2 linked regions of the Sus scrofa genome follow. The main gene of each other region encodes a partner of the protein of the gene in region 2 in a complex. Links are inferred from orthologs where the notes say so. Each region holds a gene or a part of one and is shown on either strand. Other genes may lie near its edges.

The links. The genes of interacting proteins can lie anywhere in the genome.
Region 1: the proteins of JAML (region 2) and CXADR are in contact, whole or in part, in a crystal structure (PDB 3MJ7), measured with the Mus musculus proteins. The link is inferred for Sus scrofa from reciprocal best matches to the Homo sapiens genes JAML and CXADR. Residues at the interface, in NP_001005421.3 of Mus musculus: Arg57, Asp59, Ala69, Tyr72, Phe75, Tyr77, Leu80, Val82, Glu120, Arg122, Ser127, Met128, Val129, Met130, Lys131; in NP_001020363.1 of Mus musculus: Thr23, Gly51, Pro52, Asp54, Glu56, Leu58, Ser60, Gln65, Ile66, Val67, Asp68, Gln69, Val70, Leu73, Tyr83, Lys121, Lys123, Lys124, Ala125, Pro126, Gly127, Val128, Asn130.

What each region holds. Positions count from the first base shown.
Region 1 is NC_010455.5:182,180,970-182,187,567, forward strand, and holds the end of CXADR (coxsackievirus and adenovirus receptor), read left to right. Parts: intron 1-1,116; coding exon 1,117-1,239; intron 1,240-1,766; coding exon 1,767-1,905; intron 1,906-3,428; coding exon 3,429-3,693; 3' UTR 3,694-5,008; downstream 5,009-6,598. UniProt on the Homo sapiens protein: Component of the epithelial apical junction complex that may function as a homophilic cell adhesion molecule and is essential for tight junction integrity.
Region 2 is NC_010451.4:45,529,141-45,535,838, forward strand, and holds the start of JAML (junctional adhesion molecule-like precursor), read right to left. Parts: upstream 3,535-6,698; 5' UTR 3,445-3,534; intron 3,174-3,444; exon of another isoform or gene 2,482-3,173; intron 653-2,481; 5' UTR 633-652; coding exon 590-632; intron 494-589; exon of another isoform or gene 409-493; intron 1-408. UniProt on the Homo sapiens protein: Transmembrane protein of the plasma membrane of leukocytes that control their migration and activation through interaction with CXADR, a plasma membrane receptor found on adjacent epithelial and endothelial cells.

The sequences.
Region 1 (6,598 bases), on a different chromosome or scaffold from region 2:
AGTTTGAACGGTTTGTGCAAGTATGTGTAGATTTTAAAATCCCTAAATACCTTCCCTTTTCTGGACAGAGCAATCAGTACTCCATGAGAATTAGTGTTTCATAATGACAGCTTAGTGTCATGTGGTATTAATGAAGAGATATTTTTATAATGATCAGCCTTGAGGATGTTACAATTGGTATATTGATGGAAACTGTTCATTGTCTTAAGTTCATTGTCACCACAGGAGTTGGATCTTGAGTGTTTTGCCTGGATTCATGTCGAAGATAAGGTTATTTACCCCTGGCATGTCTATAAAACAAAACACCTATGTGAAGCTACCCAGAAAGATTCAAACTGGTTAAATCCATTATTTTTTGGGCACACCCACGGCATATGGAGGTTTCCCAGGCTAGGGGTTGAATTGGAGCCGTAGCTGCCTAGCTGCCGGCCTACACCACAGCCGCAGCAACGCCAGATCCAAGCCGCGTCTGCAACCTACACAACAGCTTATGGCAACGCTGGATCTTTAACCCACTGAGTGAGGCCAGGGATCAAACCTGCGTTCTCATGGATCCTAGTCAGATTTGTTTCTGCTGAGCCACAGTGGGAACTCCCAAATTGGTTAGGTCTGACCACTCCTCTGCTTGTTATAATTGACCTGTTATTCAAACTGATAACCATGCTCCACCCTCCTCCCACCCTCCTCACCCTGATCTTAGGTAGGATTTCTTCCCACCTCAGTTTATTTTTTCAAAACCAAGAGGCCAAATCATATGACCTCTTCTACCTTTCTTTTATGTGTTTCTTCTGTCTGGAGGGATGAAATAGATTTTGCATATCTTGCTGCTGCCCCTAAAGAGCCTCTGTGCTGTGGAATATTTTTTGTCATCGGTGTGGCTGTGCTTCAGCAGAGACTGTGCCTAGCCGAAGGGGTCATGATTACTTTGGCTTTGACGTGAATGAACTAGACGCACAGTTGTTTGCATTCTGGAGACTTGCCTGTGCCTTGTCGAGTTTGCTCTGTATCCAGCTTCAGTTTTTTACGTATTGACCAAGTGGAGTTTGCTTAAAAACTCAGCAATGTGTGACTGTAAAAATAGATTTCATTCCCTCACCCTCCTCTTTCTGCCCATAGAAATGACTTCACCTGTTATATCTGTAAAAAATGCCTCTACTGAATACTCTGGGACATACAGCTGTACCGTGAAAAACAGAGTGGGCTCTGATCAATGCCTGCTTCGCCTGGATGTGGTTCCTCGTAAGTGTCTGTTCACTGTTGTGAAGATGTGTTTCATTATCTTGATACAGCCTCCTTGGCTACAATCAGCAAGTGTGTATTAAGGGCAGGGGGGTGCTAACTTTGAGCAGAGCACTCTGTGGTTTGGTTATTAGCTTGTCTAAGTCATGGAAAGGAAAAAGGTATGACATTTTATTAATAAAAACCTTCATTACTCTACTGACCTTAAGGCAAGAGTTGTCAGATCAACTCTTGTACTATATTTAGCCAATGTAAGTAAGTATAAGCTATTTAGAAATTCTTAAATGCCAGCTAAGATTGTGAGTATTAAAATCTTTCAGTGTGGTTTATTGTTTTTATCCTTGAAATAGAGTACACAGTTCAGAAGAAAGTTGTTTTAGTGGATTTTCCTTCAGACCGGAAAAAGCTAACTGATTTGTCTCTTAAATCAAGAGACAAATTCAATGAAATCAATCTGTCATTGTGTATCATTACCTGCAATGTGACTAGATGAAAAATTTTTTCAACCATTCTTTTTTTAATTCTAGCTTCAAATAGAGCTGGAACAATTGCAGGAGCTGTTATAGGAGTTTTGCTTGCTCTAGTGCTCATTGGTCTTATTGTGTTTTGCTGTCATAAAAAGCGCAGAGAAGAAAAATACGAAAAAGAAGTGCATCATGATATCAGGTAATTAAGTGGCAGAGGAGTTGACTGATGTATACTAAATGTATTATGTCTTTAAGGTGTTAGTTCTCATAATCATCTGAAGCATTTGCCCCTATGAGAATTGGATGAAAGCTTCTTCTCTTTTCCTTAATGTACTGGAAAGCTTATACTTTCAATTTCAAATGTGCAGCTCTAGCCAACCTCCACTGTGCCTCCTTCCCCATTTTGAGACTTACTTGTAAGAACCACTGCAAAATGCTTATCTCCAGACTCTCTGCCTTCTCCCACTAGAGTACAGGCATGAAATTTTCAAAAATGAATTGTTGAGGTTTCAAATAAAAAATCTGATTGTATCAAGTGACACGGGTAGTTAATAATTCTATGGTAATGTGATATTATTTTTTTAAATATTCTAAAATATTTTTCTAAATATTTTAAGATTCTGGTAAATCTTAACTAGAAATGCACATTGGATTGGATTATAGAACTTGTAAAAATAACAACAGAGGGTCAAACTGACACCCAGGAAATTGACATTTGATGGGTCTAGGATCTGGACATTTGTATTTTAAAATGCACCAGAAGTGACTCATATATATTCCATGTCAGTGCGTGGTATGAAAATTCTTATGCCTAATTCTCACTTTTTTCAAACTTAAATCTGCTCAAAGTTTTCAGCTGAAGTCTTAGATGAGTAACTTTCATAATAAAAAAGATATTTTACCTTGTTCTTTTTTTTTTTTTGATAGAAATATCTGTAGATGTTGCTTTATCGACTATTAAGTGTTATTACATGACTCTGACCAGATTATCTTTGTCTGTGATACTAGAATATGAAAACATTTGAGGTTTGTTCTTTGTAACACAGCATTATGGAACTATGTACTTTTAATTTTTTAATTTTTTTTGTCTTTTTGCCTTTTCCAGGGCCGCACCGGCAGCATATGGAGGTTCCCAGGCTAGGGGTCTAATTGGAGTCGCAGCCACTGGCCTATGCCTCAGCCACAGCAACTTGGGATCCGAACCTCGTCTGTGACCTACACCACAGCTCATGGCAATGCCTGATCCTTAACCCACTGAGCAAGGCCAGGGATCAAACCCGAAACCTCATGGTTCTTAGTCAGATTCGTTAACCACTGAGCCACAATGGGAACTCCTGGAACTATGTACTTTTATAACAATCACATTATTATGTGTGAAGGTATAAACTCTGTAAATGATAAATTTGAGATAGATACGTAGTTCACAACATCACACCTTATTGTGCTTGCTTTTTGTGTGTCACACACCCTTCTTTTTTTCAAGGGTCTGGGGGTGGTTCACGCATTGCATGCAGATGTTCTGGGGCCTGGGATCGAACCTGTGCCATGGTAGTGACAATATTGGGTCCTGATCCCACTGAGCCACCAGGGAACTTCCTCACGTACACTTTTATATGCTTAGTGCTTAAATAGAAGATCTTCCTTTCCCCCCATGATTCATAGCTTACATGATTGTAGGTTTCTAGAAACTTGGTCTTTGAGCGCGTATTGTGATCTTTCTAGGGAAGACGTGCCTCCTCCGAAGAGCAGAACGTCCACTGCCAGAAGCTACCTCGGCAGCAACCACTCGTCCCTGGGATCCATGTCTCCTTCCAACATGGAAGGCTATTCCAAGACTCAGTATAACCAGGTACCAAGCGAAGACTTTGAACGCGCTCCTCAGAGTCCAACTCTCCCGCTCGCTAAGGTAGCTGCCCCTAATCTCAGCCGGATGGGAGCGGTGCCTGTGATGATTCCAGCCCAGAGCAAGGACGGGTCCATAGTATAGAGCCTCTGTACCTTCATCTGTGCTCTCCATGTTCCTTTTCTCTTCTCAAAGTATCAACACCTATTCTGTTCTGAATTTTGCTACCAGCCTCAAAATATATCAAAAAGAAGTTCACCAGAAACGGTAAAAACTCCAGGTTTTGTGCAGTTATATTGAAATAGTAAAGGCATTAAAGAAAGTTCTAAGGACAAATTCACCTTCTAAGTAATATATCCTTTAAGAGCTTGATTTTATAGGGTTCTGGGTATCAATACTTCAGTCAGATGTAGCACTTTGAGTGTGAAGTCATAGGTGAAGAAAGAAATTGGTGAACTTACATGCATACCAAGCTGATACTTGAATCATCTGAAAGTGGTACTTTATAGTTTCTACCATTACTTTTAGGTTGCCTTTTTCAATTAATTTATGACCCTGTAATTCCCCTGCCCCCAAATTGGTACAGAAAGATTCATGACAAAAATAGTCACATACATTTATGTTGGTTCTTGTTTTTGCTTCAGTGAAAACTCTAAATGTGTTTAAAGTATCTCTAATAAGTAGAAAACACTACAGTGTTCTAGAAACCACTCGTTCTGAGTCATTCATAAACCTTGTCTATGAAATGACTTAAGTGCTTAATTGATAGGTTGCTCTGGGCAGCAGGGACGTAGTAAGCTCCTTTTTTATGCTAAAATAAAGGAGCATCTGTCTGGTCCATTTGGAAAATTTGCTGTCAGCTACATGTAGTGATGGTAGTAGTGGTGCAATAGTGAGGGTGGACTTTGTTGCCGAGTGTCTTGATGCCTTGAGGCCTGTGCAGGTCTTCAGAACCCTGATTTGCTGTCAAGGATGTGTAGTGTTTTGCAGTTCTCAACCAAATGCTGGCCCTCCACTTTAGGCTATATTTTTCTAGTAAGAAAAAAGTATAACTCATTTATTATCTGACAGTTATAGAATATCTGTAACTCCCTAATTATTGGTTCTAAATTAAAAAAAAAATTTACCCCTGATTTAGTGGGGGTTTGGGGTGGGGGAGGGTTTTTGTTTTTGTGATGGTGTTGCATAGTATATGTTCTAGGAATATACTCTTAAATTTGCCATCTTGAATGCTGTTCCTGGAGGATATTGTCTTCATAAACTTAGAATGATGAAATACACCCTAAACTAGTAAGTGTCCTCCATCAGTTCTGTATTTCAGACTTGGGAGGATGTACCGTTGCTATTGTATGGCCAACACGTCTTGTGTAGTTGCAGAAAATCAAGTTGAGCTTTGAAAAGTTTGTCTTAGTTTTGTGGAAGTGACTTAATCTTAAAAAAAAAAAAAAAAAGGAAAGAAGAAATGAAAGGAGAAGGCGTAAAAGGAATACTCCTACCTGCCAAATGTATTGAATGCTGTCTTAGTAGATGAAAGTGAATTTATTGTATTTCCCTTAAGATTGTGAGGAAGCGTGGATATATAGCATATAGTAGAATGAGCCATCAGTTTCTTTATAGTACATAAGGTTTGCAATAAATTATTTCATTAGCTCTAAAACCTTTTCCCTAGATTTCAGTAGGGAGTTGGTTTCTGTTCATCTCTTTGGGTGCTGTGGTGGTAAATGCTACATTATAAATTAATGTTGGCATGAATTTATGATTAGGCAGAGTATGTATACACTTTTTAATGGTAAACGTAAGCTGAATGTATAGTGAATTAGTGTATAGTTTGACATTTTTGGAATAGGTTTTTAATGTTACATAAAATTTGCTTTTATGCTTGTGTTAACATTTTCATCTGTGCCTTTTGGGTAATTCAGTTTTTATGATGAATTTCTGGTGCCTATGAGCTAGCTATCACCTGAAAGGTGCTTAGAGGTGAAGGTACTGTTCCTAAAAATGCATCACTGTGATACCTTTCTATCCTTACACTTGCCTCTTCTTTTCTGTTCTCTTTGGATGCAAGTTAACTGATTATGTTACTTGTCATGTTTCTACAATTTCGACATCCCCTACACTCTTTGTGTTTCTGATTTTATAACAATAACTATTTTTGAATACTGGATTCCCAGTCTGTTTTATATGAATACAATTTATAAGATATTTTAAGAATAAATAAGATCACGAACATTAATAATAAAACATTTTTGGTCCTCCCTATTTCCCATTTTCGTATAATGAAGATCATGCTGTCAATCTAAGTAGAAATTACTATGAAAAGTGGACATGTGTAAGGCTTTCCTCCCCTAGACTTGGTAGTTAGTCTAGGATTTGACTGTAAGGACATCAGAATCTCCCAGAGGTGCTTCCTTCCAGTTCAGGTCGATACCACCTACAACCTGAAAAACAAGCTCGGAAAAAGCCACTGTGTGACCTGAAGACACTATTGGATGTGGTTGGGTTTAGAGGACAGACTTCAGTTTTAGGTTTATGTCTCCAGCTACTCGTTGTAAATTTCAGCTAATCCAAAAGTGAGATACTGCTGGTAATTTCCCAGACAATTCTACCTAATAATTTACTTTGAACTAGAGATCAAATATTTGTTCTGGAATTTCTATTGGTAATTATCAAGCAGTTCAACAAAAAATTGTTAAACGTTTCCATTAGAGTCAAACATCAGTCAAGGACAGCACTGACTCTTCAAAGTAAAACTGTTCCATTCCACTTTATACCTAAGAGACTTGACACCGACACCACATTCTTTTGAGTTATGCAGGAAAACTGTAAAAGAAATGATATCATAGAGGATGCAATTCTATGCTTTTAATATGTAGATGACAGGTGTTCTTTTTTCTTATTGGCAATCTTATCAATATTTCCCTGTTAGAATGCAAAAAAAAAAACAAAAAAAAACTTTATTGATTACACTAGCTAGTTATTCCAGGCAAATAACTTCTTTGAAATTTGGGCAATCTACCATGGAGTTGTAATGGAAACGCAGCCTGAGCGT
Region 2 (6,698 bases):
AGCAGCCAGAGCAGGCTTTTTAGAAGAAAGTGGAGCTTAAGGAGAAGCCTGAGGATAAAGAAGGCTTAGGCAGGCTTGCTCAGGTGAGGTGGGGAGAGAAGGTTCCAGGCAAAAGAAACCATCCAAAATTAGGAAGGAGCTCAGTGCATTTGAGGAACCACAAGAAGGCTGGCGTGGCTAAAGCATGAAAAAAGTTACAGGGATTCTGGAACTCTCTTGGGTAATTTCATTTCCTAATCTGAGACTAGCTGTGATTTTAAAAACAACATCTTAAAGTGCAGGAATGCCAGCAAGAAACTTTTTTTGGATCCCACAGGAAGGTCCTGGAACACCCAGTAAGGACCCTAAGGCATTCTGTTTCTAATAGAAAGAGAGGAATATATAGCTTTCCAAGAAAAAGTCTGCTACCTGGCCTCTAAAACAGCTGCTTCAGCAAAGCATCTGTTTCAACAAAACTATGAAGTTCCAGGCTGGGGTTTCCGTTTTCAGCACACTAAGGGGAAATGAAAATACATAAAACTAGCTTTTTAAAATGCATGAGACTTATGAGAAATCAAATACCATCCTTGGTCCAGTGGCTTCTACTTACCCAGTAACACTGGCATCAGGATGATTTTCAGTGGGTAAAACATGCTGCTCTCAACTTTTCAATCTGAAGATACAAGAAAAAAAAATCAGAAAATAGTGTCAAGAGAAGTTCATTAATTTAACAAATCAACAGTGAGTGCCTCTGTGAAGCAGCCTGGGTCTGAGGCACTGCGATGTGGCAGTGAACAAGGAAGACAAGGTCGCCGCTCAAGTGCAGTCTGCATGTAGGGGGAGACAGAGAGAAAAAAGCAGCAAATGAATGAATAAGGAACAGTGGATGCTGGTGACCATCACGATGAATCAAAACAAAGTGGTGTTTGGAGAGTCACTTGGGGGTTGCCTCAGACTGGCTGTAAGGGAAGATTAAAGTTGATTTTCAACTGAAAAAAAGCAAATAATTCCAGGATACCTTGAGATGACAACCCTATTCAATCCACAACTTCAAGTTTCATGTAAACAAAAGATTACAGGATACTCAGCCTGAAATTTTTACCTCTCTCTCCAACTAAATTAAAATGACTACTTTTAGACATATAAACAACATTTCAGACATGGAGGAAAGGCGGTACACAAATAAGGGGAAATTTTGTAAGCTCAGTTGAGGCATTCACCAAGTCATTTGACAAAGAAACCACATGATGGTTGAGTCTTTGGTTTTTTTGTTTTTTTGTTTTTCACTTTTTTAGGTAGGATAGAACAAGACTTGGGCTGAGTATGGGCAAGTGTACTTTTAAAATACCCATATTATCTCTGTGGTATTTATTTCATCTTTTTTTTTTTTTTTTTTTTTTTTTTGTCTTTTTGCTATTTCTTGGGCCGCTCCCTCGGCATATGGAGGTTCCCAGGCTAGGGGTCTAATTGGAGCTGTAGCCACCGGCCTATGCCAGAGCCACAGCAACGCAGGATCTGAGCCACGTCTGCAACCTACACCACAGCTCACGGCAACGCCGGATCGTTAACCCACTGAGCAAGGGCAGGGACCGAACCCGCAACCTCATGGTTCCCAGTCGGATTCGTTAACCACTGCGCCACGACGGGAACTCCTATTTCGTCTATTTTATATATTAGCTCTTGGGAAAAGATTTGCTGTTCTGCACAATGCCCCACAATTTTCTTAAAACAGAAGAGCTCTAAATCCAAAGAGTTACAATTCAACCAGCCTTGGATTCCTACCTTCTACTGTGGCTGGTCTCAGGAGAAGATGATCCCTGCACCCATAATACTCTGGAGTAATTTGACCTCAGAATCTGCTAGGAGGAAAGGTCTCTTTTTTTTTTTTTTTTTTTTGCATTAACATCATAGTACCCTACCCGGCTCTGGTGGGAAGTCCAGCATGTGTGGCAGCCATTTTAATTTATAAAAACTGATTACCTAAGAGAATCCTTCCCTGTATTCTAATCAACAAAATTCTCCCTCCGGAAAATTAGGATCAAACTGTTCAAGGCAGCCCAACCTAGGTCTTACTTATGCTGTAAATCAGTTGCCCTTGCTGAACCTCAGTTTCCCCACCCATAACATGGGAATAACAATGCAAGGATCGAATATGACAACGTAGGTAACAGTGCTTTGACAACCAGAAAGCATTACCACATAACAACCTAGGTGTTATAGCCTAAAAGTCAGATAGGAAATAGAGTTTGTAGCCTTAGGGGAGATTTGACGTTCTGAGCACCTACCTTTACAAGAATGGCAAATGATGAATCAGAACAAACTGGAAACTTTTTAAGTTTCAGTTCTTGAATCCCATCACGACAACGACAACGGAGATAATAATTACACTGACTCAGATATACCAAAAGTCACACTAAGTTTCCTCAAACATGAGTATTTTTAATGAAAATACAGACCTCTCTCAAAACAGCCACAGCATTATACCTGCTCCACAACACTCACCTCACTCCATGCGTACAGGGGTGAGCATGATTAAGGGCTTCCTTTATATCGTAACTTTAATTCATCGCATCTGGGACATCAAACTCACTGCCGTGTTCTGGATGAATTCTTCTCCAGAGAGTTAATTGTGCTCCCTTCACTGCCCAGCAAATAGCTCTCATATATTCCCCAAAGCAGTGCACCATTTGCATGGAGAGTAAGAACTGATTTACAGTGTAGACTTATCTACCCTCTCAAGGGCAGGATCATATGCATCTCATTTATGAGTGTCCCGTGCCCGTGCTACAGCATCGGTGAAGTGCCTGGCATATACTGGATAAGGGCTAATAGCTGCCAATACAACCAACTGAAATCAACTTAGACATCCTGCCAATGCACTACTCTATTCTAAGAAGAAACCAGTGACCCCAAAAAGATTTTAAATCTCGTCGCCAAACTGAAGACACACAGAGCCACACCCAAACCATTTTCCAACAAGTTCTAAGAAATGTGCCAACGATATGATAAATAAAAGATACCCATTTTCAGTCCTAAGTACTCAAATGCACCATTAGAACTCTGGGTGAATGAATAGAGAAGCAATGATTTGACAGAAAAAGTGTTAAATTTTTTAAAAATTCTCTTCCCAGAACAGCCCTTCCGTTAACTACTTCTTTCATCTTTGGTAAGCCACTCACTCTCCCCAGGACTCATTCTTAATATTAAAGGATCAGATTACACCCACCCACCTACCCACCCCAGTTAACATGGCACCACATTAGAAATCAGTAGTTGATATTCAATAAACTAGAGAAAGTTATATTCTCTACACACCAATCAATTTAATTTTCACAACCTCCTGTGAGGTTTTATAGATGAGGAAACTAAGGCACAGATTGGTGAAGTGACTCGCCTAAAACACAAAGCAAGTGGCAGGGCGAAGATTCGAGCCCAGGCACTGTGGATCAGAGCCTGTCCCCTTACCACACTGCACTGCTCCTCCGTGTGTGTAAAAGTCATCAATGTTTTAGAACGGAGTTTCCCTGATCTTCATTTATCAGAGCAAAATTAATCTGCTCCCCTGACTGAATCCTCTTCCCACCCTCTTCCCCTAGTTAACTCCTGTTCATCTTTCAGTTCCCAAGTGAAATGCAGTTTCCTCGCGGAAACCTCTCCTGAACCATTCTTCCCAGGTCAAATCCTTAGGCCACATGTTTCAATAGTATTATTTTACTTTCCTTGAGGGCATTTGTCACAACTTTTTTTTTTTTTTTTTTTTTTTTTTTTTGGTCTTTTTGCTATTTCTTGGGCCACTCCCTCGGCATATAGAGGTTCCCAGGCTAGGGGTCTAATCAGAGCTGTAGCCACCGGCCTATGCCAGAGCCACAGCAACTCGGGATCCGAGCCGCGTCTGCAAGCTACACCACAGCTCACGGCAACGCTGGATCCTTAACCCACTGAGCAAGGGCAGGGACCGAACCCGCAACCTCATGGTTCCTAGTCGGATTTGTTAACCACTGCGCCACGACGGGAACTCCACAACTAATTATCTATTTACTTATGTGCTTCTTCGATTCAAGTTTTTCTCTCTACCTTCATCCCCAAGACTATAAGCTTCATGAGGCCAAGAGCTGTGCCTATGGGCCAGTGCATCTCCAGCACCAGCACAGAGTAAGAGCACCAGGCAGGGAGCCCAGTCACCACCCATCAGATGAATTAACACCTAACAGGGCCAAGAACACTCTAGTCAAGTTCTAAGTTTTCCACTTAGTTGGCAAATATTTAGAAATTCCTACCATATAGATAGAAACTAGATAGATAGATAACATATTTTTTCAGAATTTTATTATTCAGATATACAATTCAGAAATCTATGAATCTCAGTGTAAAAATCTAACCAAAGCATTCATTAAAGGCACCTTAAGCATCTCGATAGATGCTAATTGAATTCTCAACTGAACTTGCTTCTTTTTCCAGATCCTGATTTACCAGCATGTTCTTGAGATAACTCTGTATAGTAAGTTATTTCACATGTTGACCAAATGTTTGGACCTGCACTTGTGGTTCTTTCACAATGTAACTCTTGACAAATATCTTCTATCATTCCTGGGGAGTTGTAACTACCGGGACCCCTTTTTCTATGATTAATAGTGTAGGGGAATTGTTGTCCTTGACATAATTATAACAGAAAAAAAAAATCTTAGAAAAGAAACTCATGACAATGAGACTACCACACAGGATGTGGATATGACCCTCAAATGCTACGATACTACAAGAGAGAATAAGGGAGAGGCGCTCTCTCTGAGTCAGGGTTTGCCCCTAGCAAGGACAAGCAACCCCTGAGCACACAGACAACTACACTGCCTTTCCTCACCCAGGCGGCCCGGTCCACCCGCAATGCTAGGTCCCCTCGAGTTATACATGGCTGTGTACCTCCAGGCTCTTGGATGTTTGCGGTATATGAGTCCCCATAATGAATCTTTTAAAATGCATCTTCATTTTTCCTTCCAAGTCCATTTAATACAAACTGGTAGGTTGCAAGGCTCCTTATAATACTGGCTAGGTTACACTGGTCAACCCTCTACCTGAAGGGGACCTTAGGAGTCATTACTCCTGCTGTCTTCTTTAGACCAGGTTACACCTGAACCATCCTACTTCAACTTTCCTGTGATCAGGACTATGGAGAGGGTATGCTAAGTAGGGACAACTGCCTAGCTCTCCTGAGAGATTTAAGTTCCTGACTCCTTAAGGTTAAATATTGGCCTGTCTAGGCTTGGGAGAAGAGAAACAGTTCAGGAAGAGTTCTGTGGCAAGTTCAAGGACAGCTAGTCACAGTTCCATCTAAAGCCACAGGCGAGCAACTTAAAAGCGAGAGCTTTGTCACCATCATCATCATTTACACTTTTATTAAGAGCAAACCTTACTCCTCTTTTTCTGAGGATCTTAACATAAGTTATTCTACGCTACAGAAAGGAAAACTGTACCTACCAGACTACCTTACGACAGTCCTCCGGCAGAGGCTGACAGTTTCATGATTATGGCCTCACAATCCAAAAGAGTTACCATTAAATGAAAACCTCCAGTACCAGCCCCCTTCCAAGGGAGAAAAGTTCAAGTCTACTGCTTAAGAAGTAGAAAACAAATGCTTACCTAAGATGAGGCGAAGCAATGCACTGAACCCTCCCACAGCTGCAGTTCCCCAAATCCGACTGAAGACACTTCTGTCTGTACAGAAGGTCAGACTCAGAACAAACCAGATGCGTGCATTCTGAGGTGGTTGCAGAGATACAAACAGGAACCTCTGAATCAAGGTTCTTGTTTCAGTCATCTGGCCTATTACCCAATTTTTATTTACACTCTCATCCTAAAATGAGGTAATAAATTCACCTTAGTGAGGAGAGCCTCATGTTCCAGACCCCTGCAGGTGTCATCTCCCCTCCCAGATTACAAACTCTCCTGGGGTGGGATCTTGAATGGTCCCAGGCAAACTCCCGCTGAGAAAGAAATCAGCCTCCTGTAAACAAAATACAATAAACTGCAGATTAACACAAAACGTTTTGCTCTGTATCTAAAATGTCACAGCCTCTCATTTTTTCCCCCTCTTATCACAGAGGGACAATAGAGCCAGGTAATCACCCAATCCCTACCACCAAAGATACACCTGCTCAGCCCTCCAACTCACCACCCTGACACAACGATTACGAGTCAATTTCCTCTGATGGCTGTGAGAGCAGAATTTCTAGAATACAAACAGCATTATATTCCCCCCAGAGAATCCCTCGGGCAACCTGGACATCCTAGAAAAGGACTCAAAGCTTCTATACTTCAAGGTATCATTTGCTTTGAAGTCACCACTTCAAAATAAGTGTTCTCAGGGGTTCCCTGGTGGCTCAGCAGCTTAAGGATCCAGCATTGTCACTGCTGTGGTTCAAGCCGCAGCTGTGGTGCGGATTCCATCCCTGGTCCGGGCACTTCCACATGCCATGGGCACAGCCAAAAAAAAAGGGTTCAGTGCACATGGCTTCAACCTTACCTGCACTGGCTTGACTTACACATGGGCAGACATTTTGGGGGGAACCTGTCCTGTATCATTTGAAAAGTTGTTGAATGCTTGCTCTTCTCCAGGACAATGTTGCATGGTTCTTAAGACTTGGTGGGCTGGTAAGACAGCAATTGAGTAAATACTTCCATCATGGCCTATTTCAAGCCACCAACAGGTTAACAACTAGCTTGCAAAA